4 linked regions of the Saccharomyces cerevisiae S288C genome follow. Changing the gene in region 3 together with the main gene of any one other region gives a genetic interaction. Each region holds a gene or a part of one and is shown on either strand. Other genes may lie near its edges. The genes, in order: PMT6, NEO1, PHO87 and PHO89.

Region 1 (7,831 bases), on a different chromosome or scaffold from region 3:
TTAATCGTATTAAGTGTATATATGAATAAGCTATTAACCCTACCCATTAATTTCCGGGCGGGTTGTTATTTTTATCAGTATTGGCCTCTGCCGGGCGGCTAGCACGCTGGGTAGCTGCTGCGACAGCGGCTTCTGCTGCTTGCATAGCATTTTTTTGCATTTTTTTACCTGCAAACTTCATACAAAATGGCATCAAGGATGTATTGAGGGCAACCCATGCCACGAGAATACCGTAATTTCTTCCCATTTTTCTTTTGGTTAAATTCAAAAAAATCACTTTATAGATATCCACGGCATTATGGATTGGCATTATGTAGCCGTACCTGTAAAATTCGTTGTTCAAAACCATTGGGTAGAATGAAGCAGAAATATTTAATATGATCCACGTCATCAACCAAATACTCAGGTATGGAGGGCAGTAAGCTATAACTAAGCTGAGAACGTTTTCATTGGCACCACCAACAGCCATCATTACCAACCACGTAGACATCCAATATACTACGAATCCTCCTCTGCCAAAGGCGGGGGTGAAATCGATCCTAAAAATTGCAGATACGGTACAGAATCCAATGGAAAGAAGAAAATAAGTTGCCCAGGAAATTAGAAGCCTGTAGATTAAAATATGCTTTGGCTTCAGAACTCTGGCCATTTCTCCGTGCAACTTACCATATAATGACAGTTGTAAAACGGTTAACAAAATACAATAAATCAGACCGACCTGCAGAGGGGCCATTAGAATACGATCAGCAAAGGGACGATAATCGTTGTAGGTGAACAACAACTGTCCTGCAATCGCCCAGTTCTCCATGTTTATATTAAGATCTCTGTCATTAGAAGTGATGTTGCTCATCAATGAGGGAAGATATTCCTTGACGTAATATTTCTGAAGGCGGACCTCCAATTGTTGCATGAGTGGTAGAATGGTCGATTTAACACTCGATGGGTCACGACCACTTTCAAACACGGATTCAAAAAAAATTGATGAATTGAACTCCGAGTTTGCGTCTTGGCTAATCAAAGAATTATACAAAGTGTCTGTAGCATTAGGTTTAACGTTTAACGCCAGCCAGTATCTCTCATCGTAAATTAAATCGACTATCTTTCTGTCAATTTCGGTGGAGTTCGTCGTACCAAATTTCCTATGAAATGATGTTGCGTTGTATATATGCCATGTCCCGGGGACAGACGCTAACAATGAGGGTATGATCGCGGAAATAGATTGAACTGAAGTATTAGATGGCGCATCCTGCAATACAACAATATTTTTCACTTTGAAAAAGTAACGATCTGTTCCGTAACAGGCACCCCAGTAAATCGATATGAGCGATACACACACACAAGCAATGAAGAAGTTGTTCAAAACAAACTTCGAGAGAATCTTTTTCCTATGATTTCGCAGTCTTGGAGAAAAAAGCCCTGTTTGAATTCTTGCCAAGGGACCGCCGTCGTTACCGCCCTTCTCTTCCTCATTAGCGCCACCTTCCCCCACAGATGACAATGAGGACGGCTTTTCATCAGGAGGCCGATAGTCTTCTAATGACTTTGCTAAGTCAGAAGAATGGCCGGAACCCTCAGCAAATCGCTGATTACTGTACGAAACCCCGTCCCTGCCGCCAGTAAATGCAGCTGCTGCTGCAAAACTAGGGTCCTCAATGTACTGTGACTCTTCATCACCAACCGATTTAGTCATATTTGTTCTCTGTACGGCTACTTACACTTATGTCAGTACCCGATTCTTACGGCGTATAAAAGATTAAAGAAACAGGATATGTGGCTTGATATATACAAAAAAAAAGAACGATATGGAGTACACTATGTATCTCTCAACAATGCTAAGATATGAAGACGCTTATTGACTACGCCAGTCCGTTTTCCATTCCCTTCTTCGAATAGGGTGGCCCGTTGATGACAAAGCTGCGAGTCATCTATCATCAAACAAACTCACGGCTTTCGCTTTTCTTTAGTCTATTTCGGATTGTACCACCTCCTCGGACATTCATAAAAGGATTCGAAAACGAATAACCACGCATATACACGGAAATAGGAGAAAACTAAACGGGAATCGGTTTATTTTTTTCTCAACATTTCTTTTTCCTGATTTTCCATCCTTTTCGAGATCCACCTATTGTGGTGAAAAATAACGAAAATATGTGCTTTAGGTGTGCAAGGCATAATGTGTGGCATACTGGAAGGAACAAGTTGAACACGCCAGCTGGAAAGAAGTTCAATACCAACTTGCCCAATGCCTAACTCAAATGTTCGGATTCCTCCTACTGTTCCATCGAAGATAATAGATGTGGTCGACCAAGCGCTAAGAGCGCGACTCTTAGGTGGCAGCACCTTCAATTCAGGGTTTGATAGTTTAGATTCCGTACTTAACTTACAGTTTAGACTACATTACCATGTTATTGGATCGAATGGGCCTGCAAAACCAGTTTGTGATGTTTTACTGAAGGAAAGTCAAAATTTAGAAAAGAATATGAGTATGATGGAGGAGTTGAATGACTATCCGGAGATTACAAAACTAGTGGAGAAAATTCTGTTCAATTGCCTCGGTATTCTTTTCTTCCACAGGGGCCAATTTCAGGAATCGCAGCGGTGCTTGCTGCACTCGTTGAAAATTCATAATAACACTGCATCGCAAAAAACAGCACTTATGGAGCAGTATGATAGGTATTTGATCGTAGAAAACCTGTACTACCGTGGTCTAGTTTCGCAAGACATAAATATCATGCAAAATGTTTTTTACAAAGAACTACTGGCCCACGTGGATACGATCCCTCCCGAATCAAACGGTCTTCTTTTCGAATACATCAGCTTGATCGTCGCAAAACTCAGGTTCAATCAAATTCAGGATTTAGCAGAAAATTTTAAAACTACCGTCGAAAATCCTTTTATTCTTTTCCTTTACATGATAAAGAAGTTCCAGTCACCTCTCAAAAAGCACATTGATAATGATGATCTTTATTTGAAGTTCGGACAGAACGTTTTGTTGAAGGCCAAATTTCCTACTGCTAGTGAGACAAATGATGAAGCTTTGGAGCATTTTAATGTCTTTTTGCAGTATTATTTCAAATTCACTCACATAAAAAAAATAAAAGTGAATCCCAGTTGGTATAATTTCATAATATCTTCAATGGAAAAGACTTTTCAAAGTATTGAAGTTTCGAAAACAGCAATGTTTCTTTTCCAAAACCTAAGCGATAACAGTAATGACGAAATAAAGAAGAAGACATTTAAAAGAGAATCTATACTAAATTTTGTTAATTTTGTGAAATACAACGACAAGTACTATCAACTGCACGATAACTCCCACCGTGACATAATTTCATTCATTGATGCGTATTCTTTTATTTTACAAAACTCCTCCAAAACCGATTCAATCGAAAATGTTTTTGATTACGATAATACGGTATCTACGTTTGCGACTTCCTTGAATTCCTTCTACAAAGAATATAATTTGCCATTAATGAGCCAATCAGAATCTTTAGATTGGCTAGAAAACAGCACCAGATGTGTATACCCAGGAAACATTTCGAAAGTTCTAACAAATGCGTGGTCAACATTGTACGAAATCAGAAAATATCAGTTAGATTTTCTTGTATCTAATAATTTGACTTCATATCTATGTAATGCAATGATGCTGTCCACAAAAGAAAAAGACAATGCTGATGTAGAAGAGCAGGAAGAAGGAGAGGAGGAGAAGGCATTACGTGAATTACAATTTAAATATTCTTACACTCTAGCACAACAGAGGCACATTGAAACTGCAATCAAGACTCTAGAATCATTGATATTAAGTAAAAACCCAAATTACTACAAAGCTTGGCATCTATTAGCTCTTTGTAGGTCTGTGCAAGAGGATAAGGAAATGTCGTACAAGATAGTTTGCTCTGTTCTAGAAGCTATGAATGAAAGTCTTCAGAACAATACTTTACTTCTGAATGATAGATGGCAATTTATTCACCTAAAATTAACGCAATTGGCGCTAATTGAAGAAATTTTTGGCACTTTAGAGGCACTGGAGACACTTCCAGAGGTCTTTGAATTATACGCAACATTATTTCCAGATTCACAACCTGAATTGAACAGCATGGGTCCCAAATATTCTCAAACTAAAGAATATCTTTTACAAATGGTGTGGATTTTTGCTGCAAATATGTACATGAGAACAAAAGACAATGATGAGGATGCCAAGGCCGCCATCAAAGAAGCCTCCAATGTCGAAAGTAAATTCAAGAATTTAAATTGTAATATTGCTAACGGTTATTTATCAATAATAAAAGATGAACCAGGCGTGGCATTAAAGGAATTTGAAACAGTTCTGTACTATGATGAGAATAATTTAGATGCCTTGGTCGGATTCGCTGAATTAATTTTCCCTGAAGAACTAGGCGTCGAGGAAACTAATCTTGAGCGTTATTATACTCTCAGCCTTGATAAAAAACCAGGTAAGAGGGCCAAACTTACGTTCGTTAATGACACAGATAGGTCAGCAGCGTATGCAAGACTAAAATTTCTATTGGAGTGCGCAATACTAGAATCGATCGAGGCTTACTATTCCCCAGAAGTTTGGTGGTATTTGTCCCTCATTTACGAGAAATATCAAGATGACGAGTACAAAAACTCTTTGCTAAAATGTATTAAATACCAAGAGTTGAATCCCATTCGCTCCCTAAGGTATTGCAATTACTAACGATAATTCTTCTGATATATACACACACATATATACATATGGGCGCAAGTATATTCTGGTGTAAAGATACTCATAGAAAGCATAAAGATGTAATTCAATCTAGTTGTATTATATTATTCATTGATTTATATTAATTTGATGAACAATGGAACATCTTCTCTTCAATAACGGTTTTGCCCATATACTTGACGTTATTAGGTTACCCGTTTTTATAAATGTAATAAGTTCAATAATTTGAAAAGAGCATTAGCTATAGTCACGTTTCGCGTTGAAACAATTCTTTAAATTATCTTCTCTTGGCAGTTTAATATACCAAACGATAGTCCTAACATACTGTTTTTCTTATTATTTACCAATGAGTAAAGCCAAGGGAACGGGATTTTCATCAATTGATACTGAAGATGAAAACTTACGCGAACGTTATGTTAATCAACCAAAAGCTAATGCCTCCGATATTCAAGATGAACAATTAGATTGCTTTGAGCAACTAGAAGAAAAACATAGGACAAAAAAAAATGAAGAATACACTGCGTTGAAAATTTTAAGGGATGTCATAGGTCCCCTTTTATTAACTATAACTTCGTTTTATCTAAGATTCCAACATATAGATCAGAACAATTATGTTGTCTGGGATGAGGCTCATTTTGGGAAATTCGGATCATACTACATCAAACATGAGTACTACCACGATGTCCACCCTCCACTTGGTAAAATGCTTATTGCATTGAGCGAATGGATGGCAGGATTTGACGGTCAATTTGACTTTTCCTCTAATAATGCATATCCGGAAAACGTAAACTTTAAACTAATGAGACAATTTAATGCCACATTTGGAGCTCTATGTACACCAGTAGCTTTCTTTACAGCCAAATGGATGGGGTTCAATTATTTTACTGTTTATTTGATTGCTACGATGGTAACGTTGGAACATTCATATATTGTCCTCTCAAAATTCATATTGCTAGATTCAATGCTGCTTTTTTTCTCGATGACGACTTTTGCCTGTATGATAAAGTTGTATACGTTGAGAAAGCAACAAATGACGAAAAAATGGTCGTTATGGATGTTATTAACTGGTTTATCTATTGGTTGCGTTTGTTCTGTGAAATGGGTTGGTCTTTTTATCACAGTTGTAGTCGGCCTCTACACATGTATAGAACTATTTTTGCTCTATTGTGATAAAGAATTGCCTAGAATAAAATATTACAAACATTGGCTTATCAGAATCATTAATCTGATAGTAATTCCTTTTCTTATCTATCTCTATTGCTTCAAAATTCACTTTGTGTTGTTGTACAAATCTGGCACGGGGGATTCTACTACAAATACGTTATTTCAGATAAACTTGGAGGGAACTCAGATTGAGGCGGGTCCTCGTGATGTAGCATTTGGGTCAGAGTTAACCATAAGGTCGCATGGTTTAAGCCCGAATCTGCTGCATTCACATATTCAAGTATACCCAGAAGGCTCTGGACAGCGCCAAATCACTGGATATGGATTCGCAGACTCTAATAATGTTTGGAAGTTTGAATTTTCTAGGTCTTCTGGATTGGAACTAGATCAGAACGGGACTTTGAATGGCAAAATAATCCCAATAACGGATGGTGTGGAAGTTCGTCTCAGCCATAAAAATACAGGATCGAATCTTCACTCGCATGATGTACCTTCTCACGTCTCTAGAGGAAATTATGAGGTTTCAGGCTATGGGTCACAAAGTGTTGGCGATGAAAAGGATGATTGGATAGTGGAGATTGTGAAACAAATGGATTCACCAAATCCCGTCTATTCTAATGAGAATTCAACTATTTTACATCCAGTTTCTACTTTCTTCAGGTTGAGACACAAAGTTTTAGGTTGTTACTTGGCTTCTACTGGATTGACGTATCCAGCTTGGGGATTTAAACAAGCTGAAATCGTCTGCAAAGACTCCTGGAGTCGTAGGGACAAATCGACCTGGTGGAATGTAGAAGATCACTGGAACCACAATTTAGAAACCGCAGAAGATTACGTTCCACCAAAATCCAATTTTTGGACCGATTTTATTCTAACTAATTTTGCCATGGCCTCCTCTAATAACGCGTTAGTGCCTGATGAGGATAAATATGATAGTTTATCGTCTGATGCATGGGAATGGCCAACCTTGCATAAAGGGCTAAGAATGTGTTCATGGGCGGGATATATCACTCGATATTACTTGATGGGATCTCCCTTCAATACATGGATTTCTACTGTCTCCTTAATCATCTTCCCATTTATTATTCTTTTTATATTATATCGTTGGAGGAGACAAACGCTTTATCTCTCAGACGATCAAATCTGGCAAATAACGATACAGGGTATTTTTCCTTTCATTTCCTGGATGACACATTATCTGCCTTTTGCAATGATGGGGAGAGTGACGTATGTACATCACTACGTTCCCGCTTTATATTTTGCAATGCTTGTTTTCGGATTTGTGCTTGATTTCACTTTGACAAGAGTCCATTGGATGGTCAAATATCCCATCTATTTGTCATTGTTTGGCGGATGTATATACATTTATAATTTATTTGCTCCAATATGTCAGGGTATGCATGGTGATAAAGCGGAATACTTACCTTTGCAGTGGTTATCTACTTGGGATATCGCACCTTAGTAAAAAAAAAAAAAACTCCAACTCCTTTACACAGAATCACGAAAATTGTAAATAATAATGCCAAATAAAGGCATTAACTTATTATCCTCTTCTTTTCACATGAGAAATGATATAGATATTGCCTATTCATATGCTAATGAGTATATACGGGTGGACAAATCACTACTTCCTACACCTAAAAATAATTTACCGTTTCTCTTTAAATGTGACCACCTCAATCTTGTAATTTTGTCTGCTGGTGTTATATCCTCGTTTAGCTGCGTTATTAACTCAAACTTTCCCAAAGTATAACTGTATAAATAAATCTCACCGTTTTCAAGACCCACCGATATCAAAATTTTCTCTCTTATCATGCTGTCATGTATGGAAATAGCAGTGACAGCTTTAGTGTGTTTAATTGATGCTTCCAGAACGTAGTCATCAGCTGGCTCCTTTTGGTGCCTCCATACTTTGACAGTTTTATCCCTGGACGCGGTGACAAAAACATTACCAAACTCTAA
Region 2 (8,856 bases), on a different chromosome or scaffold from region 3:
AGAACCGGGATTAATTATAGATTTATTATGCTGGGTGAGATTCAATCCAAGAATGGTACGCAATTTTTCAACAATGATTTTGCCACGAGTAAAATTCCGCTCAAGTTGTATTTCTTGACATTCTTCATAGTACCTTGTGCGGTCTGTTCCATGTTAAGTTTCGCTTTGGAGAAGCTCACACCCTTAGGCTTTTTATATATTGGTATTGTGTCTTTCTTATTTTTATGTCCCTCTGGTCTAATTCCATATTGGGACAAAGTTGTACACACTAGAAAATGGCTGGTGGTTACTCTTATTAGACTGATGATGTCTGGTTTTTTCCCTGTTGAGTTTGGTGATTTCTTTTTGGGAGATATTATTTGTTCGTTGACGTATTCTATTGCCGATATTGCCATGTTCTTCTGTGTTTACTCTCATACGCCCAACAATCTATGTGGCTCTTCACATTCCAGAGCAATGGGTGTTTTATCATGTTTACCAAGTTATTGGAGATTCATGCAATGTTTACGAAGATTTGCTGATTCCGGTGATTGGTTCCCTCATCTTTTGAACGCGGCGAAATACACTTTGGGTATAGCGTATAATGCCACACTTTGTGCTTACAGATTGTCAGACCGTTCTGAACAAAGGAGAACCCCTTTTATCGTGTGCGCTACGTTGAATTCGATCCTTACTTCCGCCTGGGATTTAGTTATGGATTGGTCCTTTGCTCACAATACTACTTCTTACAATTGGTTGCTAAGAGACGACTTGTATTTAGCTGGTAAAAAAAATTGGGAAAACGGCAGTTATTCATTCAGTAGGAAGTTAGTTTATTACTTTGCTATGATTTGGGATATCCTCATTAGATTTGAGTGGATTGTATACGCAATTGCTCCTCAAACAATTCAGCAGAGTGCTGTGACGTCGTTTATATTGGCCCTTTTGGAGGTTTTAAGAAGATTCGTTTGGATCATCTTCAGAGTCGAAAATGAACATGTTGCCAATGTTCACCTATTCAGGGTTACCGGTGACGCTCCTCTGCCTTATCCAATTGCGCAGGTCGGTGATGATTCTATGGATAGTAGTGATTTGGGTTCAAAAGCCTTTTCATCACTTAACGACATACCTATCACGCCTTCACATGACAATAATCCTCACAGTTTTGCCGAACCTATGCCCGCTTACCGTGGGACTTTCAGAAGAAGGTCCTCCGTGTTTGAGAACATTTCGAGATCCATTCCTTGGGCACATGCAACTGATTTCCAAAGACCAACTGTCAATACCGTGGATGATAGGTCTCCCGAAACAGATAGTGAAAGTGAAGTGGAAAGTATTATGTGATTTGGGCTGGACATGATATTTGCTATTGTTAACCTGCTAAAGATGCTTATTTGAGGAAGTACAAAGAAAAGAAAATAAAAAGTAAAAGAAAAAAAATGTAACAAAATAATATTATGCATAATCTATATCTTCTTTGTAAAAATAAGAATTTATATTTTGAAATATGATAGATTTTTTTAAGATAATCCGTTGAAGCAACAAGAAAAATCCAAACCAATTGAATTATGGAGTGGCAAACTCTTGCACTTTTGCATAACTTGGAGGATGTAGCCTTCTATAAATTGCCTTTGCCGTCCAGACAGGAAAGATCGAGATGAGTAATATAACTAAAAGTCCAGCATAGTAATTTACGGTAGTCATATAACCTAAATCAAAATAATCGCCAAGAAATGGAACCGATACAATGTAAAATAGTAAAGTAGCAATTTCAGTGACGAGCATTGTTTTATTCCATGTGTAGATTTCTAAGGCAACCATTATTAATTCATTTACAACCAAAGCAGTGAAGCTGATAGCAACCATCCTTGTGAAATCAGTATCTAATAAACTCGTAAAGGCCTGAGAAAATAATTGAATTACAGAACCTTGGAATAGCGATAATAGAACCCAAACAAAGAACGTCTTATATGATAAGCTCTTACCTTCAGTCAATTCTTTGTACAATTCTGGGTATATTTTAGTCAATGACTCTTCGATATCGTGATCAAGAGTTAATGAAAAGACTGGAGCCATTGTATAGCAGGTAGCATAACCGACCATTAACCAACCTTGATAAAGAGCAATAGGTTCGAACAACGAACAGATGGAATATACCGCTTGGCAAATTGCAATGATTAAACCTCTATGCATGACAAATTGAGCCAATTTAGCAGATCTTTTGTAAGAGTTCCTACCATGCCATAATAGTAATTCGGTGAGGTGACAAAATTGCGTTATAGAAAAATCAGCAGCTAAAGAAGCTTGTTTACCTTCTTTACCCACAATCCCTACGCCAACATCTGCACATTGAATCATACTAACATCGTTACCTCCATCACCAATACAGCATACCCTTTTGCCCGTCATTTTACGAATTACCAAAGCAACGTCTGCCTTCTGTTGAGGTGTACAACGGCAAGCAATAACAGTGGGTAAATGAACCACGACATCAAAAAATTCCTGTTCGTAATGTTTCAAAAACATTCCCAGGGATTCACCATCTATTAAAAGACAAGCATTTCTATTGATTTTTAGATACTCCAGCTGATTGAATGCACCTTCCGGTCTTGTGACTTTTGTTATCGTATGAACATATTGGCCACGAGATATTAATTTTGCACTTATGGAAACACAACGAGCAGTTTCAACTTTATCACCTGTCAGCATCCAAATCTTGATACCTGCGTTTCTTAATAACTCGATAGAGGACTTCACATCCTTCTGTAACTTATCTTCTACACCAGTTAGACCCAATAATTCAAGATCATGCTCTAAATACTTGGTGATAACTTGACTCATCTGTTGATCACGATTTAGCATTGACAAAGAGGCATCGTTGTATTCTTTTTGAAATTGCTCGTAAATTTTCTTGTTTAATTTTTTACGACCGATAACCAAAGTACGTAGACCTTCACGAGCCATATTACCTGTTTCTTCCTCTAGCCAATCATTGCTTTCCACAATTTTTGACATGACAGTATCGGCCCCTTTTTGCATAAACCAATATTCATCCAATTGCTCATCACGAACAATGATACCCATACGCTTAGAATCAGAATTAAATGGGAATACTTGTAAAATTTCGTAATTTAAAGTCTTACCAGAATGTTCGTGTAATAAAGAAATTGAATGGCGATCTCTTTTGAAAAGAGATAAGCCAACCGACTCGGTAAATTTAACAATAGCAATTTCATCAGGTGATGCCGCTTGATATGTAAGTTCGTCATCCTCAAAAGTGGGAGTAACGTTATGGCAAATTGCTAGAGTTAAAATCATATCACGTACACGAAAAGACATATCCTTTCTTGTTGTTGATAAGGCAACTTTAGAATTGTTCAAAGAGTCATTTTTAGAGCTCACCAGAGATTGTACATAGTCGGATACAATGTCTAATGTTTCCGACGTGTATGATACAGTACCCAAGTGTATTTTCTTCAATTGCATATCATTCTGAGTAAGCGTCCCTGTTTTGTCGCTTAGAAGGTATTCAATACGGCCTAAATCCTCTGGAATTGTACTCGTTCTAACAATTGTTTCAGGAATGGTTTTATCGTGTTCGATCTGATGTGCATAAACACTTTTGGCTAAATCTAAATTAACTCTTAAAGAGACAGGGATGATGGTAGAAAACAATATCAGATACCTCAAAATGTCAATGTACCAGTCGTCATTGTGGAAACCGGCAAATGCAACTAAAAGAATTGACAGGGCAAAAACACATGCACAAAGAATCTTGGAAATACTGTTAATTTCTAGCTCTAATAAGCCAGTTTTAACCTTAGCTGTAGTTGTATTCATAGCTTGCCTAGTATCTCTGCCAGTGTAGACGACACAAGCAATACAAAATCCACTGGAAGCTAGAACAGTATTCGCCCATAGAGTATTATCTACAGACAAAGGGTTTGAAGTGGAATCCTTATAGGTAACTTTACCTAAAAATTTATGAATAGATTTCTCAGGAGCAGAGGCTGTTATACTAATTCTGTTAATTAAGTCATTTTCAGATAGATTTTGGGTCAAGGGACAGGCAACACGTAGTTTCCAGTCAGTCTCCCCATCTAGTTGGTCAGTTTTGATAAATGACTCGCCTGATGGTTCACTTGATTGTAAAAGAACCAAATCAGCGGGAATACGATCACCTTTATGGACTTTTATGAGATCTCCAACTTTTAAGTCTTTGCTTGGTATGGAACGATTTCTCGTTATTACATGATACAGTTCATTGTTTGACTCTCTATCACGTCTCCTTCTCTGAATATCATCTATAGCTTCCTTTGCCATGGTTACTGTCAGCACAAATGCTAAAGGTACAATATACGATGATAAATACCCTATTCTTAGTGCAGGAACGGCCTGCGATAATGCAACTACTAAAAAGTATAAATTGTAAAAGAATTTGAACTGTTCATATAATAGGGTTGGCACAAAAGTAACGGCATTATATTTGGCATTAGATAGTTCATTCGAAACGTATCTATTCCTATCGTACACAGGAGTCGTGTCTGGATGTATTTCTCTTTCGATGTGTTGATCACTGAGTTCTATGGGTGAACCAAACTTGGACCAGTTTTTTGTGTTAGATACTTTTAAATATGAGAGGGCTTTTGAAAAAATATTGTTTGAAGACGACGGTGGTGACGAAGCAATATTAGTAAATTTGAAATTATCATCCTGCGAGAGGCGATTATCATACATCAAAGGATGGGTATCTGTGTTTGAAGACTTACGATGCGAATCCGAAGAATGGTTAGAAAAATTGTCTAAATCATCTACTGTTCTCATTTCAAAACTTTCCCTATCTCCAACAGTGTTATGCTTACTAAGTGGTTCTGGGTTATTATTAATTTGTAAACTGTCTAAAGCAGCGTCAAATGAATCGTCGAGATGTAAGTCAAAAGAATCTACACTGTTTGCGTGTTGATTATTGTTGGAGTTGAATAAATTCTGCTTATGTGACTTAAATGAAGGAGGGTTAGGCATTTGTCTCTGAAGTTTTCCGTGCACACTGATACCCCTTTCTTTTTCAGATTAACGTTATGCCACACAAGTGCTCTGATTGTTACTTTTTCTCAATTGCTTAACGGTATATTGCTGTTAATAAGCTGATTGTTGAGTACTGTATAAGCTTCAAAAATCCAGATGAAATCTTTTATTGCGTAGATCAGGCTTCTAATAGCAGCAAATTCAGGTGAAACAATGCCTAAAATATTAAATAAAAAATAGGTATTGAGTAATTTTGGTCCTCGTTTTAAGTAACGAATGTGTCCGAAATTCCCAAGATGTCTAACCTTTTGTTTGGCAGTGATAGGTCTTAGCCACTGTGCCAGTATTTACTCTTTCCAACTGCCTCAAAAAGGTATGGCCTTACCTTCGTTTTTAATGACACGTATACGAGCCTTTGCTGTCTAATTAGTGGTAAAGTGATAATAGTGAAAGTAAAGTGGTTCTTTACCGCGTCTATATATATATGTATATGAATGCCCTAGTGTGCACATTACTAGATTATAAAAGGTATTATGGCGTAGGGGGCTACGTGATTGTCTTTAAATTTGTGCCTGTAATAATTTTTTGTTTCCAATGCGGATATAGTCAAACTTGTGATTACCCAAACTAGTGTTAGGTAAAATTCTTGTTCATAGGGCAACAGAGTAGAATAAATGATTATTTCATCGAGATAATGAGGACAGCATACCAACCTGAAAAGCCTTCCTGTTGGCAGCGAATATTTAACCAGATTGGCCAGAATAACATGATTTTTGTACTGATCCCAAGATGCTATGCAGAATATGATGAAAGCATTCATGTTTAACGTATTTGGAATGGAGTTCTTGTACAGTGATATATTAAGAATTAACAAGAGTACGGAATAGAACCATATACCGACTAGATAATGGGACCAATTCATCCTAGAATTGCTTGTATAATGTAGTACATAAAGCGTTTCATAAAGTCGGCGCAATGAGTGTCCAAATATGATCCAAACGATGGGGAATTTAGGATAGAAATATAAGGTGACTAAGGATAGAAAGGTAGCCAAATAGTAAAAATGGGAAAAATACGCCTTTGGAACTGTGAACTTCTTGATTCGTTCTAAAATGCTTGAGTACTTTGAATTCTCTTTGGGCCGGTAGGTTTTACCATATTGAAGAAATTCTGGTAGACAACTTTTTGCTATGAAAAGTGAGCAAATGCCTACAAAAAAGGATAATCTATAGGCATATATAGTATATTTTAGCAATTGTTCTTCATCAAAGTACATTGGACTGGTAGATTCTACGTTTTAAGCCAGATCGGTCCGCCGATAAACCTATTTATATTCCACATTTGGTATATTTTTACTTTTTCGAAACGTCCTTAATTCTCATTTTGGAAAAAAAAGAGAAAGCATAATACTGAATAGAACAAGGACCGAATTTCTCTTTACCGGTAGATTATGATTTATTTGGGCAAAAAGTTTTTTTTTTCATTCTATTGCAATAGCTATCATTTCAGGAGAAATGCTACTAATATGAAAAACCACTGATTTAAAAGGAATATTAAATTATTTAAATATAACCGATATGTACGCGTTACGTAAATCAGAAATTGATATGTATAATACGAGTAACGGTAAGGGAAGGGCATGAATAATATGCAGGACAGCATTCTACTGGTCGTTCCAGAATTTATATAACAAGTTTGCATATTTCTGCATTTCTTCGACTGAAACCAATAACTTGAAATCACATAGTATCAGGAATTGTAATTCTAAATGGTTTAACTCTTGCAAAGAAATACCTCCAACCTTGGCGTATCGAGAGTTACTGTAAAAAAAATCACTCAAGAACTTCGTGCAAATTGTGACACCTGTTATGAGCAATCTATGAATGTTCCCGGAGTCCATGACGAATAATTGCTTTGCGCAACCATTACGCTCAGAAGAATGCCCATAATTTTTGGAGATTCTATCGAAATATACAAGGAGAGAAAGAAAAATATCATTTGTGGTGGGACAGTACTTTTGAATTCTCTCTAAGTACTGAACAACAGCTATCTCTGGAACATTCTTTCCATAGAAAGCAAGGATTGGAGTTAAGAGTTCGTCTTCGGTCTCATCCGACACTTGTTGTGAGACATCTGTAGTTTCATCGTTTGCTGTTATAATTCTGTTGAGTAGCGCACTTATCATTAGTATGAGTTCATCTGTGGGAAAGTCTGCTATGTTTAAGATCTTTACATCAGTCTGTTCATTTGTCTCCTCGTCCAGGCTATGCGTTTTTGCTTCCGACTCTAAAGACTTCTTTACAGCTTGTACAGGAGAACAATCTAGTAAAGATTTCGAAGAGAAAGGGCTTTCCAAACTGGGGTTAGTAGATATTTTGGACAGCAAACTACTATTGTTACTTGAAAATGGATCGGTCTTGAAGCTGTGAGAATGTGGTCCGATTATTAGGTTATCTCTATTCCCCCCTGGTATATTTATTGGCGATGTTGTGGTTTTTTTTGATGGTGAACTTAGCTCCATATTTTTCTCTAGTGTAAGCAGTCGTTCGTTCTAGCTCGGTTTGCTTTAGTCTGATTACAGTAATTAATGTCTGTTAACTTTTGTTGTACTATTTTAAGAACCGTAGATGAATATATAGATATACTTTTTGTATATATAAAGGTTTGAGATGTTGAAGCCTGCGCTGCTATCCCCTGCTTTGTTTACACCGTTTTGGACCCATCGCAAGATACCGAGATTCCGAAACCGGCCTCAAAACTCCCAGAGATTAGGCGCGATAGATAGTAATACCTTAAGCCATAGTATGCCTATGGATGCAAAATGCAATGATCACTGTCCATGTTATACAATTAAAAGAGCCCGTAGAAAAGTGCACAGGCGGTGATCTTAGAAGACCAGTGCTGCTTATTGGATAAGTCTCTATCATTGAAGGACGTTATTCACTTTGCTCCTGTGTACGCTCTCATTTGCGGAGATGCGATTCCGCCTCTGTCGCTCATCCAGCGAAAAACACACCGTATGGATCCCCTGATATATATAAATACATATGACTAAATGGGTCTTACACATGCATAAGAATTAGGTTAGCTAGTAAATTGTGTGAGATTTACAGGTAAAAAGGACAACACATACACACAAATATATTACCAATAATGTTTTTAAGAAATTCCGTTTTGAGAACAGCTCCAGTCTTGAGGAGGGGTATAACAACATTGACCCCGGTCAGCACCAAGTTGGCCCCACCCGCTGCCGCCTCTTACTCCCAAGCTATGAAGGCCAACAATTTTGTGTACGTGTCTGGTCAAATCCCTTATACTCCAGATAACAAGCCTGTTCAAGGTTCTATCTCTGAGAAGGCCGAACAAGTTTTTCAAAACGTTAAGAATATCTTAGCAGAAAGTAATTCTTCTTTAGACAATATAGTCAAAGTCAACGTATTCTTGGCTGACATGAAAAACTTTGCCGAATTCAACTCTGTATACGCCAAACACTTCCACACCCATAAGCCTGCAAGATCCTGTGTTGGTGTTGCTTCCTTACCTTTGAATGTTGATTTAGAAATGGAAGTTATCGCTGTTGAAAAGAATTGAAGGATTGAAACTTCTTTACTGCCTTTTTTCCACTTGCGATACCGAGGAGTGTACATTTATAAACATTTTAGTAGCATTCTTTAGCGTATATAAGATTTTAACTAAGAAAAGAAACGAATTTACGGAGTTTCAGAATCAGTTTCTTGCCGTTGTAGAAAATGTGAGGGGAGTTTCCCTCTACTTGTATCAATGTTACAAGACAGGGGTAGAAACCTATTACGTGTTGGAACTTATTTTCTTGAACACTCTAATCATAAATTC
Region 3 (8,308 bases):
TGGTGGCAGGTTTTTGTTAAGTAAGTCGAAACCATTTAAATTAAATGGCCTTTTCCAATTGCATAATTTGGTTTTAACTTCACTTTCATTGACGCTTTTATTGCTTATGGTTGAACAATTAGTGCCAATTATTGTTCAGCACGGGTTATACTTCGCTATCTGTAATATTGGTGCTTGGACTCAACCGCTCGTTACATTATATTACATGAATTACATTGTCAAGTTTATTGAATTTATAGACACCTTTTTCTTGGTGCTAAAACATAAAAAATTGACATTTTTGCATACTTATCACCATGGCGCTACTGCCTTATTATGTTACACCCAATTGATGGGCACCACATCTATTTCTTGGGTCCCTATTTCATTGAACCTTGGTGTTCACGTGGTTATGTATTGGTACTATTTCTTGGCTGCCAGAGGCATCAGGGTCTGGTGGAAGGAATGGGTTACCAGATTTCAAATTATCCAATTTGTTTTGGATATCGGTTTCATATATTTTGCTGTCTACCAAAAAGCAGTTCACTTGTATTTCCCAATTTTGCCACATTGTGGTGACTGTGTGGGTTCAACAACTGCCACCTTTGCAGGTTGTGCCATTATTTCTTCATATTTGGTACTATTTATTTCATTTTACATTAACGTTTATAAACGTAAAGGCACCAAAACCAGTAGAGTGGTAAAGCGTGCCCACGGCGGTGTTGCCGCAAAGGTTAATGAGTATGTTAACGTTGACTTGAAAAACGTTCCTACTCCATCTCCATCACCAAAACCTCAACACAGAAGAAAAAGGTAAGTGTAAAATCTTTGAAAGAATTTAAGTATTCAACTTTCGTATATTCGTTTTTTCTTAGTGGATCTATTGTTACTATTATCACTATTATTATATTGTAAAAGACCGGATGGTTTTGTTATATATTACATACACATGTTATCGTTGAAAAAAGTTTTCCGTTTCCTTTCGACAGTCATCAGATAATTTTATCCGAGTCTTTTATATGTTAAATCTTGTTGACAAATCGTCCGCTCTAACCCTAGATAACAACAATGATCTTTTTATCATTTCTGGCGTTATTTTAGCGCCTCCTCCCACTAATGTTAATTGCTTATAGTTACCTGAAGGAGCAGCGAGGATGGAGATCGTACTGTGTATACTTGTTTCTTCCGCTTCAGTATCTAGGTCTGCTATTAGCACAGTGTTCAATTTATCCATATCAATGTCCACTTCCTCTTCTTCAGAGTTATCAGAGTTTTGTAATTGGCATTCGGGGTCTAACTCCACTATCCCATAATTTGAAGCAAATGCAATATTCTTTGCGTTTATCATTAACGGTACTGACTTAGTTTGGTCGCAAATAATTTCATACGTTTCTCTTATGGTGGCACTTCTTCCTCTTGTTCTTATAGTCATTCTTAAATCGGACGCACGCTCATCTATAAATGCTCTAGGTAACTTTACGCTCTGTAAAGCGTACATCAAAGAATTCCAACACAAATCGAAGACTGGACCAGTGCGACTCAAGACTACAATTTTCGCATACAAAACGTATGACCATTTTCTTTTCATTTTCAGGTTTGTTTCATTCAGCGTATCATCTTCTAATTCATCGGGATACAAGACGGAAAACGTACCGTCTTCATTCGCACTACGAACACCAGCTTTTACCTTCAAGGCTTTTTTAGGCAATATCCTAGAGTGCAATATGGAATCGTGTAGTTTTTGTGATATAGTCATTTCTTCATCGGTGCAAGCGCCCACTCTACCTCTTTCAACTTCCACCACCGGATAGACAGAAGCATAATTTGCAATTATGTCCTCCTCTTTGGTCACTTCGAACAATTCTTCCTCACCGAAATCATCCAAATCTTTAATCGCGGCGCTAGTTTCTTCTATTATTCCACCCGTAATAGAAGTTATGACTATGGTTTTCCCACTTTTCAAAACATTTGAGCCTAAAATGTTGTTTTTAGTGTCTATATTACCAGCATCCGCATAACGCGATAAAGTATTATTTTCTATAGCAACATCTCTAAATTCTTCATATTTTCTTAGACATGGCCTGATTCCTAGGGATAAGTGTCTTTGTAAAGACAATTCTGGAGATATTCTCGCAAGAACTTCAGGTGGAAAAGTAATTGGGTGTATCTCAATAGTTTCTAACGTGGTACTTTCAGCCATTTCCAATATTAGATGCCTGTGAAACTACTGTCAAACTTATTTGTGTAACAATACTCATCGTCTAATTTGTCCATTATTGTTATATACTCTGTCATAAAAAAAGAAAGAAAAATCTTATACTTTCGTCGACTGTGATTTGAAAATCTCTCCAGATCAAACGGGAATAAAAGGGTTTATATCCGAAGGTGGCCAGAACAATCATGAAGCAAATAGGATAAAAATAGCCAATAAGATGTTTGTTGTCTTTCATCCCAAAGTTCCAACAGCATATTTCAAAGATGGGTATTACAGTAATAGGTTCTCTAAACTATGATTTGGACACATTTACGGATAGATTACCTAACGCTGGAGAAACTTTCAGGGCTAACCACTTCGAAACACATGCTGGTGGTAAGGGATTGAACCAAGCTGCGGCCATTGGTAAATTAAAAAACCCCAGCAGCAGATATAGTGTTCGAATGATTGGTAATGTTGGAAATGATACATTTGGTAAACAATTGAAGGACACTTTATCCGATTGCGGAGTCGATATCACTCACGTCGGTACTTACGAAGGCATTAATACGGGTACCGCTACCATACTAATTGAAGAGAAAGCTGGTGGCCAAAATAGGATATTGATTGTAGAAGGTGCTAACAGCAAGACTATTTATGACCCGAAACAGTTGTGTGAAATTTTTCCAGAGGGCAAGGAGGAAGAAGAGTATGTTGTTTTTCAACACGAAATTCCTGATCCTCTTTCCATTATTAAATGGATACATGCGAACAGGCCGAATTTTCAGATCGTATATAACCCCTCACCTTTCAAGGCCATGCCTAAGAAAGATTGGGAGTTGGTAGACCTTTTGGTCGTTAATGAAATTGAGGGTCTTCAAATCGTGGAAAGTGTATTTGATAATGAACTTGTTGAAGAAATAAGGGAGAAGATAAAGGACGACTTTTTAGGAGAATATCGTAAAATTTGTGAGCTTTTGTATGAAAAACTCATGAATCGAAAGAAAAGAGGAATTGTGGTTATGACTTTGGGTTCGAGAGGGGTGCTTTTCTGTTCGCACGAAAGCCCTGAAGTACAATTCCTTCCGGCTATTCAAAATGTTTCGGTTGTTGATACTACAGGAGCTGGAGATACTTTCCTGGGCGGTTTGGTTACTCAATTGTATCAAGGAGAGACCTTGTCTACGGCTATAAAGTTCTCTACATTAGCTAGTTCATTGACCATTCAAAGAAAAGGTGCTGCTGAAAGCATGCCACTGTATAAAGATGTTCAGAAAGATGCATAAAATCTACTGCAATTTTTTACTTTTAGTTTGTTAAATTTTAGTTTTCGTCATATATATAAAGTTTAAAAAGGTACAAAGAATGCAGTAATAAGAAATGTAATTACATGAGGGCAGTTTAAGTGCTACCTTTTAAGACGGAAGAACTAATACCATAACCGAGAGTAATTACGCAGACAAACGCTAACAACGAAGCAGGAACACCTCTGGAGATAAAAGCGCCTACAGTTAGCCATCTATTACCCTTTTTATCGGTCATAGAAATAGCAGTAACGTTTGGAAATCCAGATGAAGCCAACCCCATACCGCATGAGGCTAACAAGGCGCAACCGAACACAAGAATTGGAGCTGCCTTTGGATCGGATAATTTGTCACCAACTTCTTGCACCAAGGGAATAATGATGATTGCTGACACAGTATGTGAGACAAAAGTGCCCACAACTAACATTAAAATACCGAAAATACATAAGATAGCAAAAACACCATCGTTCTGAATTTTCTTTTGTAATGCTCTTGCAATAGTTACCAACAAGCCTGAAGATGAAACTGCCTTACCAAGGGCTATACCACCCATAGCAAGAACAACAATTGACCAAGGGAATGTGTTGAAATCCTTTGTTGATAGTAGACCTGTACCAAAAAACAGGACTATCGGTATTACTGCAATTTCACCGGACGATCCAAAAGCACTTTCTATTTGTGACTCTACACACCATAGAAGAATAGTAGCAATAGTTACAATGATGATAAAATATTGCTTTATAGTAAATCTGGTCCTTATTGGTTTAAATTTTTCCAGTTTAGTTTTGCCTATTTTAAAGGTGAGTATCATCAAGGCCCAGGAGCACAGCATCGATAGAATACCTGTAGGCAGAGCGACAGCAAAAAATTGCCCCCAGCCGATTCCATAAGGTTTTAAGTACTGCATGGAGATGATATTCTGTGGCGAAGAAATAGGTGAAGCCATACCACCAATATCTGCCGAAAGTGCAACACCCATGACTAATGCCTTAGCAAACGGTGAAGTGTAGTCCAGCGGATCTAGTAAGGGTGTTAATAGAGAATATGTCAATACTGGGGAGGCAACGTTGGAAATCCACATCGAAAGAAAGAATACAACACTCATTGCCATTAAAAGGACATTTCTTGGCTTGGTACCTGCAAGGGCCAATAACCACGATGCCAAAACTTTCGCAACGTTATATTGCGACAAGGCTTCACCCAATGTGAAACCTGCTAATAAAATCATAATTGTTGACGACCACATTGTACCTAAGATTTCTGTAGAGGCAGCTGCTGCTCCCATTACCTTACCGTCATCGTCTTTTAGTACCCTAAAAAGGACAGTTAGAAGGGGAACCAATAAACCTGTGATGTGTAATGGAATGGCTTCACTAGCCCATAAGAAAGCACAGCATTCTACCAATGCCATACACCGGTGTTCGACAGGGTCATTGAAAGTTTTAACACCCAACAAAACACCTGTGACAATGATAATGAAGCCTATTTTCATTGCTCTTTTCCCAAAAAATAGCTTAGGAACTGCCAAATTTTCAATTTTAGTAAACTTCAAATTAATTGGCTTAGGCAATGGATACTTGAAATATTCAATTTGAAGCTTTTCTTGCATAAGTTTCTCAGCTTCATCTTCAATAGTTATTATATCGTTATTTTGCGAAGAGAGGCCCAACATGTCTTTCCATGTGTTGCTTCTTTCCCAAACAATGTGGTCGTGCAGGTACGACTTTAACTCTTGCTTGCATGAATCTACGTTCCCAGGCTGACCCATGAGAACAGCATAAAATTCAATAAGTTGTGCAATTTTACTGTTTAAACTGCTTAAAGTTTCATGCTGGAAGATGTAGGTGTCTTTGAAAAATTCTTCACTTTCTATTAATTCTTGCCTAGTGTTCATGTGCAATACTTTATCAGACTTCTTAGTAATTTTACTGAAACCCATTCTGTTCAATTCGATAAAAGATTTCAACTGGCAAAGGTCTATGTAAAGATTTATTATTGTCTGTTTTAATAATGACTTTTTCTGAGATTTAATGTTAAATTGCGAATAATTCAAGAGGGCGGTATTGTCGGTAGTGTCAGCAAACACGTCAACGTCATCATCTTCATCCATTTCTTCTTCGCTGTAATCAAACCTATTTCTCAATTCACTGTCGATGTTTGAAGAGTGTATTTCAAATGGGTTATTAGATGAATGTGTCTCTGATGTACCAGAAATAATTTCTCTTAAAGGAGGCAATGCTTGAATTTCAGGATTGAAAGTTTCATTCAATCTTGTTACAATGCCTTCCTTCTCCAAATCATTAATCAAGTGGTCAAATCTTTCATAGAACTTAGCTTCCATTCTTTTGTAGAAATCATCTACTTTCAATTTCTCGTCGCTCAGGTTAGTTACGAATGTATCATAAGAACTGAAGAGCGTCTTTCCCTCGCTACTCACAGATGAGCTGCGTGATTCAAAGAATTTCTTACGTATAAAATTCTTATTGAAAGAGGTGGTTTTCCCTTGAGGAGATAACTCGTCTAACTCAATTGTTTCCTCGTTAATATTGTTCCCATCTATGGCCTTTTCGTCGGAGTCTCCCCTTTTGCTTCCTGAAGGTGTTTTAGAACCAAAGAGCTTACGCTTGAGTTTATGTGTAAATCTTCTTTTCGATGAAGATGGTTCTCCTGCAGCTATGTTGCTTTCTATATCAGCGATTGGACCTGGAGTCTGAGAGTCAGCGTCATCGTTTAAGTCACCGGTTGGCGTTTCTTGTTTCAATTCATCTGTCTGTAATGTGTAGATCAAATTTTTCAATTCGTTATAATCTAGGTAATGATTCTGCCATTCAGGGACAGCGTTGTATTTGAGAAAGTGTGAGAATCTCATTTCGAGGCACAATAATAGCCGCCTTTACCGTAGTTTTGCTGCACCTTTATCTGAGAGCTGACTGCTTTTTTGGTGTGAAACACTGTTTTCTGGTAATAATTTTTCAATGCATCGGATTACTTTTCCCACGTGCGAAATCATCAATTAATTAGATTGAAAAAAGGGTAAGGGAAAATAAGAAAGAGGCGGTAGCCTAAAGATACGGTAATTGAAACGTTTCCTATGCACAATCTTAAACCTTTTTAGGTAATTGATTAAGTTGACTGTAATATCTGTAAAAGATTACATCTAATTTACGTCTGGTTTCTTATCAAAAAATATTATCTACTGTAGTTATGCAAGTATTCTTAATTTTCAGTACTAAACATGAATATTAATTATTTGTGAGCGTACAAGAAGCAAAAGGAAGTCATCTTTCTTTGAACAGTTCTGTTTTTAGGTAAGCCTTGGAACCTTAGCTATACTGACTTGATACGCCCTGTCTTTGTTGTCGTTATATAAAGTGTGCACCTTTATCATAGCCCCTAATAAGCTTCTTGCAGTAGTATTTGAACAGTGTATATCTTCATATTGCTTTTGTTGTAAATATTGCGCAAAAGCGACTATCTTTGTGATTTGGTTGAACTTTTGCATATTCACGTTATTACCATCTTTAGTGAATGTATCGTTTCCGTCTCTTATGAAGGTAATGTCCCTGATAAGCAGTGATGTAAAAGGTACACAAGGAAGCTGACTGTGGAAAATATGTTTAATTGTTCTTCTATAAACGTTGTAGTTGTTGTTTGGATGTACGACGACTTTTAGGCGCTGAAAAAGGTGGTCTGATTTAACATCTATCGGGAGAGATAGTCTTTCTATTGAATGATTTTGCAATGATGTAATGATTGAAGCAAGTGAGTTTAAGTTTCGTAAGTATAGACAAGACAGTGCAACTTGTAACCAGTAGGAAATGGTGTGCGTTTGCTGCAAAGTTGTCTCAAGAACGTAGGACGATAACTGGTTGGAAAGCGTAAACACGGAGTCAATTGTTGTATCGTTGTGTTTGAAATGTCTTGTGAATTCTATTGTTTCAATATCCAAGTAAAGAGAAGATTCTAAGAGAGTCAATGTCTTTGCAAGTGACCATGGAGATACGTTTAGAGCGAAGGCTTCGACTTCTAGAAGTTCACCCTGTTTCCATTGGAAAAGTAAATCACTGAGGTCAGTTGCACCGCACAATTCATCATTTGCGTTCGTTTTGTCTATCTCGTATTGGAGAAATAAGTTTTCGTAGTCCAGGGGCGGTTTATTTTCTTCGATTTCCTTATCAGTTAGACCAATGTAATGAATCTTCAATTGCCTCGTTCTTTTTTTGTTTATAAACAGCTGAACTATGTCTGCAAACAGTTCTTGGTATTCATAATATTCAGCCAAGTGACTGTACCAAAAATTGAGGATATCTTTTAATGTTGTCTCACTATCTTGCCAATAAGACTCTACCCAGATTTGTATTAGACGAGGGACGGAGTGATTTTTGTGTTTGTTTTTATTAATTGTGGGATAGGATAGTAGCAACTCTTGGAGGAGAGCATTGTCAGTTGTCCAGTCTCTGAAGTTAAGTAGTAAGTTTGCGGAGTCAAAGGGGGATGGCTTTTGCCATTTGTGAGAGTTGTGCGGCAGCATCTTATTCAAATAGAGCTGTATTCTGAAGACCTCTTGTAGAACATCATCCATACTAAAAAGTAAATCGTCCTGTCCCATTACGAGCTGTATTAGTGCTGTGACCCTCTGTATATTTACGTTGCCATGAAGAAGGTAATGGGCGATATTTTGATACAATTCCTGAGTTGCATGTTGGATTGAGTTTACGAAGGGTCGCCAGACGGCCAGAAACCTCCAGGCGGAGTTAACAACTAGTAATACGGCATCCATGTTTGCATCAGCGCCGAGCCTATACCAGTCACTGAGTAGACGTTTTCTTGC
Region 4 (7,293 bases), on a different chromosome or scaffold from region 3:
GGTGCCAGAGATCTTGTCAATGAAGGATGGAGCGTGCCTGTTAGTATTGCTCCATTCAGTTGTCATCCAACCATTGAAGTGGGAAGGAAGCATTTAGTTCGTGTAGGCTGCACGACCGCTTTATCCATAATATTGACGATCCCGATTCTCGTGATGGCTTGGGCTCCACAGCTTCGTGAAAAAATTTCCACTATCTCCGCGTCAATGGTGCTAGCAACTATTATTCAATTTGTTATTGCAGGACCGTTTTACTTAAATGCCTTGAAGAGTTTGATATTTTCCAGGCTCATTGAAATGGATCTACTAATAGTTTTAAGCACTAGCGCTGCCTACATATTTTCGATTGTATCATTTGGATATTTCGTTGTTGGACGCCCGTTATCTACGGAGCAGTTTTTTGAAACCAGCTCTTTGCTTGTAACTCTCATCATGGTTGGTCGCTTTGTGAGTGAACTAGCTAGACATAGGGCTGTAAAGTCAATATCAGTACGTTCCTTACAGGCCTCTTCTGCTATTCTGGTGGATAAAACTGGTAAAGAGACGGAAATTAATATTAGACTTCTCCAATATGGCGATATTTTTAAGGTTTTACCTGATTCAAGAATCCCAACTGATGGAACAGTCATTTCTGGGTCTTCTGAAGTCGACGAAGCGTTAATCACAGGTGAATCTATGCCAGTCCCGAAAAAGTGTCAATCAATTGTTGTTGCAGGATCGGTGAATGGCACTGGTACTTTGTTTGTGAAGCTGAGCAAGCTTCCAGGGAACAATACTATTAGTACCATAGCCACGATGGTTGATGAAGCAAAATTAACTAAGCCAAAGATCCAAAATATCGCTGATAAAATTGCAAGTTATTTCGTGCCAACTATCATTGGAATCACTGTCGTCACCTTTTGCGTTTGGATAGCGGTTGGAATCCGTGTGGAAAAGCAATCCCGCTCCGATGCCGTAATTCAGGCCATTATATATGCCATTACGGTACTTATCGTTTCGTGTCCCTGCGTGATTGGACTTGCCGTTCCTATCGTATTTGTTATTGCAAGTGGCGTCGCTGCGAAAAGAGGGGTAATCTTCAAATCAGCAGAGAGTATAGAAGTTGCTCACAACACTTCGCATGTTGTCTTCGATAAAACGGGTACCCTAACTGAAGGAAAACTTACTGTAGTACATGAAACTGTTAGGGGTGATCGTCATAATTCTCAATCTTTGTTGCTTGGATTAACTGAAGGAATAAAACACCCAGTTTCCATGGCAATAGCATCCTATCTCAAAGAAAAAGGTGTTTCTGCTCAAAATGTTTCTAATACAAAAGCTGTGACTGGTAAGCGGGTAGAAGGAACATCATACTCTGGTTTGAAGTTACAAGGAGGGAACTGTCGTTGGCTTGGTCATAACAATGATCCTGACGTTCGAAAAGCCCTTGAACAAGGATATTCTGTATTCTGTTTTAGTGTTAATGGTTCAGTCACTGCAGTTTATGCATTAGAGGACTCTTTACGGGCAGATGCTGTCTCCACTATTAACTTGTTACGCCAAAGAGGGATTTCACTACACATTTTATCAGGGGATGACGATGGAGCCGTTCGTTCTATGGCAGCCCGTCTTGGAATTGAAAGCTCCAATATTCGTTCTCACGCAACGCCTGCAGAAAAGAGTGAATATATTAAGGATATTGTCGAAGGAAGAAATTGCGATAGTTCTTCGCAGTCAAAAAGACCGGTTGTTGTTTTTTGCGGTGACGGAACAAACGACGCAATTGGTTTGACTCAAGCAACGATTGGAGTTCATATCAATGAGGGAAGTGAGGTTGCCAAGCTAGCTGCTGATGTAGTTATGTTAAAGCCAAAGCTCAACAATATTTTGACTATGATAACTGTAAGTCAAAAGGCCATGTTTAGGGTCAAATTGAATTTCTTATGGAGTTTTACTTACAACTTATTTGCTATCCTTTTGGCGGCTGGTGCCTTTGTTGACTTTCATATTCCACCAGAGTATGCGGGTTTAGGGGAACTAGTTAGTATCCTCCCTGTAATTTTTGTAGCTATACTTCTGCGTTATGCAAAGATTTAGTCCAGGTACTGCTGCTATTTGATTGTAGATTTTCTTTTTTCTTTTCTTTTTTTTTTTTGACGACTCTGTAATACTCTATTTATTATTTAGTTTAGTTTTCTATTTAATATGATGGAATTCATAAAAAAAAAAAATACACATAGCCATGCCAGGTAATTGCAGATCAACTGATAAATTAGAAAAAAATTAATGCATCTTTAAGGTTTTAAATTAGAAATGTTTTAACTTTAAAGTCACTGAGCAATAAAAGTTCTACCTAATGTTGTAAAACTGTATTCATAACCGAAACACATTATGATTATGTCATTTGGTATTCCACACCAAAGCGAGGAGCATTCAAAATGATACCATTTATGATACCGGCAATCAAACCAGCAATTGGTAAAGTTAAAAACCAACCAGAATAACACCAGGCTACCATTCTCCAATTAACTGATTTGAGATCCTTGTTACATAAACCAACAGCGACAATACCACCAACGGCGATCTGGGTTGTTGAGGTAGGAATACCTAATTGGGTAGCCATGACAGTAGTAATAGCAACAGCTAGTTCAATTGAAAAGCCTCTTGATGGCGACTGCAAAATCATCTTATTACCTAGATTTTTGATAATATTGTAACCATAAGTCCAGCAACCAATAACTAAGGCAACACCACCATAAGCCAGAACCCACACGGGAACTTCGGACTTTGCCCCAATAGTGTTAGTTTTCCAGATCACATACACAGCAGACAAAGGACCAGTAGCGTTGGCAACGTCATTAGCTCCATGAGCAAAAGACATAGTGGCTGCAGTAATGGCTTGGAGAACCGAATAGATATATTCTACTCTATTGTCGTAAAATTTAGATCTTTCGTACATTCCTTTCAGGTCACCAGATAACATATCTCTATCATTAACTTGAGCATGAATGACGTCTTGAGTCCAACCATGAGAGATTACTAACCAGAACAATAAGGGCCATTTTTTAGGTCCTTGCTTTAATAATGACCACCAATATTGTTTCGTTGACAACTTTGTTTCTGGTTCAGTTTCAGTTCTAACCAGGTCCACTTCCTGGATGTCTTCTTTGTTTTTGACGGAATCATTAGAATTACTCGCTGCCTTATTTTCTTCGTCTTCAACAGAAACAGTTGTTCCAAGATTTCTTCTGCCCTCGTAATAATCGATTGTTAATTGATGGCCTTCTGGCATTGGTGGGATATCATCAGTGGACTTAAAGTAAAAAGATGGACCTCTGAAAATATCAATCAACTTTAGTGTCCAATCTTGGTCCAAAACTTTTCTTCTGTAGAATGGGTAGAAAAAGATGAAGTAAACGATCGAAGCAATTGCACCTGTGAGAACAATAGATACGGCAGTTTCAGTTTCAGATAAATCGTCCAAGTGTAGGTTTGGAGAACCCTTCCAGACAATCAACATTGTTAAGATAGAGAAAGTGGCGAATACTAAAACACCAACCAGCAGTAAAGCATTCTTAATCGATCTTTCCAAAGACTTAACTTCAAGGACAGAAAACCTAGAAATTGAAAAAACTATAGCTGCGATCGCGCCTGCCAAAATCGGAGCAATGAACCATGACGCAATAATTTGAGAAACACCACTCCAACCCCAAACGACACCGTTAGCTCCACCGGCTGCAATCCCAGCGCCAATTGTACCACCAACAATGGAATGTGTAGTAGAAACTGGCATTCCGATTGCAGTAGCAAATGTTAACCAACAAGACGAGCCAATCAAAGCACTGGTCATAGTAAGCATTAAAACAGCGGGGTCGTTGGTAAAAATGGAGGAATCTATAATGTTGTTCTTGATAGTACCAGAAACTCTTGCGCCTGCCAAGACAGCACCCAAGAACTCACAGAGACCCGCCAAAACCATGGCTTGCCAGTATTTTAGAGATCTAGAAGAGATCGACGACGCGAATGAGTTCGCCACGTCGTTTGCCCCGATGTTAAAGGCATCCAAAAATGCAAATAACATGGCAATGGCAAAAATATAGTCAAATTGATGTAAAGCCATTTTTGCTTAATCTTTGTTTATATTGATTCGATTAGATACGCTCCAGTATTCTCACCTTTGATCTATGTCACTCATTCTATGACAATTCATGTAAAATAACCTCAATGTAAAGATCATCTTCAGCAGGTTTATATATAATTTTCTTCATATCGAAAACCGGGCTTAGTGACATGAATTGTTTGGAGATGTCCACCCAGTAGACATTGTAAAAAAAATCTGCTATTGACTGAGTTAATCTAATGATTTACATAATAGAAGGATCCAAAGTGGCTGTGACATCTAGTATTGATAGATTAGTATTATTACTATTTGTCTCCCACGTGCTGCATTGTCATATGCAATTTATTAAGATTACATAAACTCCTTTGTACGGTATATTCTTAAAGCCTTTCAATGACTCGGGCCAATTTTTAGCAATATTTCGACATTTAAGGGCCCACTAACAAATTAATGGCACAACGTGGGGATGACGAAAAAGCAGAAAAAGAAAAAAAAGGTCTATCGCACAGCCACACACCCTTGTGGTGAAGCCGTTTTGTGATCGGTGTGGCGCGATCTGTGAAATTTAAACTTTTTTGCGGGTGAAACCGAGATTTCTGAAACTAGATTTTCTGGCTTCGCCAAAGAAAGATGCATCGAATTAATGAAATTAAACGGATGTAAGGAATGAAATTATAACGATTCCGCTAATGTTCTTTACTGACGAGTGTCACTGAAGTACTTACTCGTGAACAAAAATTAACCTATATCAGTAATTTTGATATTGTTAAAAGTAGGTATCTCTATCAAAAGAGATTATAAGACCCATCGGCAAAACTCGAAATATCGTCTTGAGAAAATCATTATACAGTACATGGTGCAATTTTAAATGATTTTTAAATACTATTATATAATCGATACATTTAGTACACGCGAAGACAACGTAGTGTTGAGATTCAAAGAGGTTACAGTTGAATACGTGACAAAGCTGACGAGAGTACTGTGAATTCAACAAACCATAAATGGTCACTCCAAGTAACGGTATTGTGATTTCAACAGAAAACACAAGCATTGTGTTAGCGTGCTCGTAAAATATTATTTCAGCGGTGAAGCAGATATGCGTTAAAGGTGGGCTCGCTATTAAATCATGAACGAAAAAACAGTTATGTCGTTACTGGTGTGAGTCGATATTACGAAACCACTGGCAGGTAGATGGATAGAATGGGACTGATTGGAACAGCGCAAGTTTTTTTCCGTGGTCGGAATTCTCGTAGTAATATTGGAAAATAGTTGGAAGAAAAATTGTGTGAAAAAATACATGCTGAAATAGTCAAACGAAGAGAGGTGAAGAATAGATAAAGCTGTTGAGAGGCAAGACAATGTTTTCAAGATGATCAGAAAAGGATACGGTCCAATATCTATTTATATTCATTGCCCTACCGTGGTATGTTAAAAAAATATGTTACATTTATTGCTCCCATTGGATTTTGCACAGGTGTGAAAGAGCTCAGTTGTCAAGATTTAGTCATTAAGAAGGGCCGCAGCAGCTTTTTGTATAATAGAGCGTCTTTTTTGTTTGTGAAAAAAATTTTATGGTGAGATATTGTTCGATTCTACGAAGTCATTTTACTAGTTTATGGACTCTGATATAAGACAGAGTTGACAAGGAAATGGTGCCGTGATTGTTTCCGTGTACAGCTTTTGAGAACTTCCTTGAAAACCAATCATCTAGCACTTTCATTTCTGGGGAAAAACCTGGAACCAAATCTTGAAAAATAAATTCCCCAGAAGTTTTCCTTATTCCGTGTTCTAATCTTCTCGTTCACTTTGCAGTGACATTCCACGGCCATGCGCAATTTACCCCGCCCCCGGATTTTATTGTCCGTACCGCCATTTTTCAATAGATTAAAAAGGAACAAAAAATCATTTCAGAAGGTTTCTTTCTCGGGAAAACACTAGAGTGTAAATATTGAATATCAAACATCGAACGAGAGCATCTTGAAGATATTTATGTTCTAAATATGACTTTAGTCAAGTATGCATGCGACTATTGTCGTGTCCGTCGAGTAAAGTGTGATGGTAAAAAACCATGTAGTCGCTGTATTGAGCACAATTTCGATTGCACATATCAGCAACCATTAAAAAAAAGAGGCTCAAAGCCTATTGGAACTAGAAGCTTAAAGTATATACCAAAGGCCAAAATGTTTATAGATAATAAAAGTTGTACGGCAGCGGCAGAAATATTAATGAAGGTTCCTAAAAAGGTGATTGATCAGTGTTTGAGGCTTTATCACGACAATCTATATGTTATCTGGCCTTTACTCTCTTATGATGACCTTCACAAGCTTTTGGACGAAGAATACAATGACCATTACGTTTATTGGTTTCTCGTAGCTCTTTCAGCAGCCAATCTTAGCGATCTACAAAGCGAATTAGAATCTGAGGGGGGATTTTCGTTTACTGGAAAACAATTAGCCGTTCTCTGTATGTCCTCACGCCAACAATTTGATGACCTTAGCGGCAGAGACATTTTCCGAATTATGACATATTATTGCTTGCTACGTTGTTTTTCACAGTCTTCTGATGTAAGAAATTCATACAGACTTTGTCGTGAAGCTATTGGCCTTGTTATTGTAGCAGGGTTACATCGTGAAAAAGCATACGAATCACTATCATTTCGTGAGCAACAGCTTTTACGCAAGGTGTATTATTTGCTTCTCTTGACGGAAAGATACTATTCCGTATATGTTCATTGTGTTACAAGTTTGGATACCACAATAGCTCCACCTCAGCCAGAGTTCGTAACGGACCCTCGACTTTCTTTGGATAGCTTTTTTGAGATGATTAGAGTATTTACTGTACCAGGTAAATGCTTTTTTGATGCTTTGGCTACGGAGTCTACTAGCGGTTCTTGCACTGAAGACTCACTGAAAAAAATATGGAAAGAGCTTCACACAGCATCCCTTGAAATAGAACCATGGTCTTATGGCTATGTGGACATTTCATTTTCTCGACATTGGATTAGGGCGCTGGCTTGGAAGCTAGTGTTTCAGATGAATGGTACCAAGTTTTTCTCAAACGCCAATAATGCTCACATATTGGTCGAAATTGCAAAGGATATGCTGGACGACATATTCTTAACTCCAAACAACCTGTATGATGTACATGGTCCTGGAATACCAATGAAATCATTGGAAGTAGCCAATGCATTGGTAGAT

Evidence for each region.
Region 1: mutations in PHO87 (region 3) and PMT6 together harm fitness more than expected from each alone (negative genetic interaction), as found in Saccharomyces cerevisiae (2 studies listed by BioGRID).
Region 2: of PHO87 (region 3) and NEO1, extra expression of one rescues a mutant of the other (dosage rescue), as found in Saccharomyces cerevisiae (one study listed by BioGRID).
Region 4: mutations in PHO87 (region 3) and PHO89 are lethal when combined (synthetic lethality), as found in Saccharomyces cerevisiae (2 studies listed by BioGRID, with this or other methods).

What each region holds. Positions count from the first base shown.
Region 1 is NC_001139.9:892,451-900,281, forward strand, and holds PMT6 (dolichyl-phosphate-mannose-protein mannosyltransferase PMT6), read left to right. Parts: upstream 1-5,051; coding exon 5,052-7,331; downstream 7,332-7,831. Other genes in the region: SNG1 (Sng1p), read right to left, coding at 47-1,690; YPP1 (Ypp1p), read left to right, coding at 2,243-4,696; Elongator subunit ELP2, read right to left, coding at 7,454-7,831. UniProt on the Saccharomyces cerevisiae protein: Protein O-mannosyltransferase involved in O-glycosylation which is essential for cell wall rigidity. Transfers mannose from Dol-P-mannose to Ser or Thr residues on proteins.
Region 2 is NC_001141.2:257,582-266,437, reverse strand, and holds NEO1 (aminophospholipid-translocating P4-type ATPase NEO1), read right to left. Parts: upstream 5,002-8,856; coding exon 1,546-5,001; downstream 1-1,545. Other genes in the region: SYG1 (Syg1p), read left to right, coding at 1-1,323; DFG10 (putative polyprenol reductase), read right to left, coding at 5,519-6,280; PCL7 (Pcl7p), read right to left, coding at 6,668-7,525; isoleucine biosynthesis protein MMF1, read left to right, coding at 8,158-8,595. UniProt on the Saccharomyces cerevisiae protein: Flippase that catalyzes the hydrolysis of ATP coupled to the transport of lysophosphatidylserine, phosphatidylethanolamine, and phosphatidylserine from the lumenal to the cytosolic leaflet of the Golgi apparatus membrane and ensures the maintenance of asymmetric distribution of phospholipids.
Region 3 is NC_001135.5:190,840-199,147, forward strand, and holds PHO87 (SPX domain-containing inorganic phosphate transporter), read right to left. Parts: upstream 6,347-8,308; coding exon 3,575-6,346; downstream 1-3,574. Other genes in the region: fatty acid elongase ELO2, read left to right, coding at 1-796; exosome non-catalytic core subunit RRP43, read right to left, coding at 995-2,179; RBK1 (putative ribokinase), read left to right, coding at 2,458-3,459; Ras family guanine nucleotide exchange factor BUD5, read right to left, coding at 6,782-8,308. UniProt on the Saccharomyces cerevisiae protein: Involved in the uptake of inorganic phosphate.
Region 4 is NC_001134.8:794,427-801,719, forward strand, and holds PHO89 (Pho89p), read right to left. Parts: upstream 4,097-7,293; coding exon 2,372-4,096; downstream 1-2,371. Other genes in the region: cation-transporting P-type ATPase PCA1, read left to right, coding at 1-2,073; TYC1 (Tyc1p), read right to left, coding at 5,697-5,816; transcription factor MAL33, read left to right, coding at 6,097-7,293. UniProt on the Saccharomyces cerevisiae protein: Sodium-phosphate symporter. Active in early growth phase.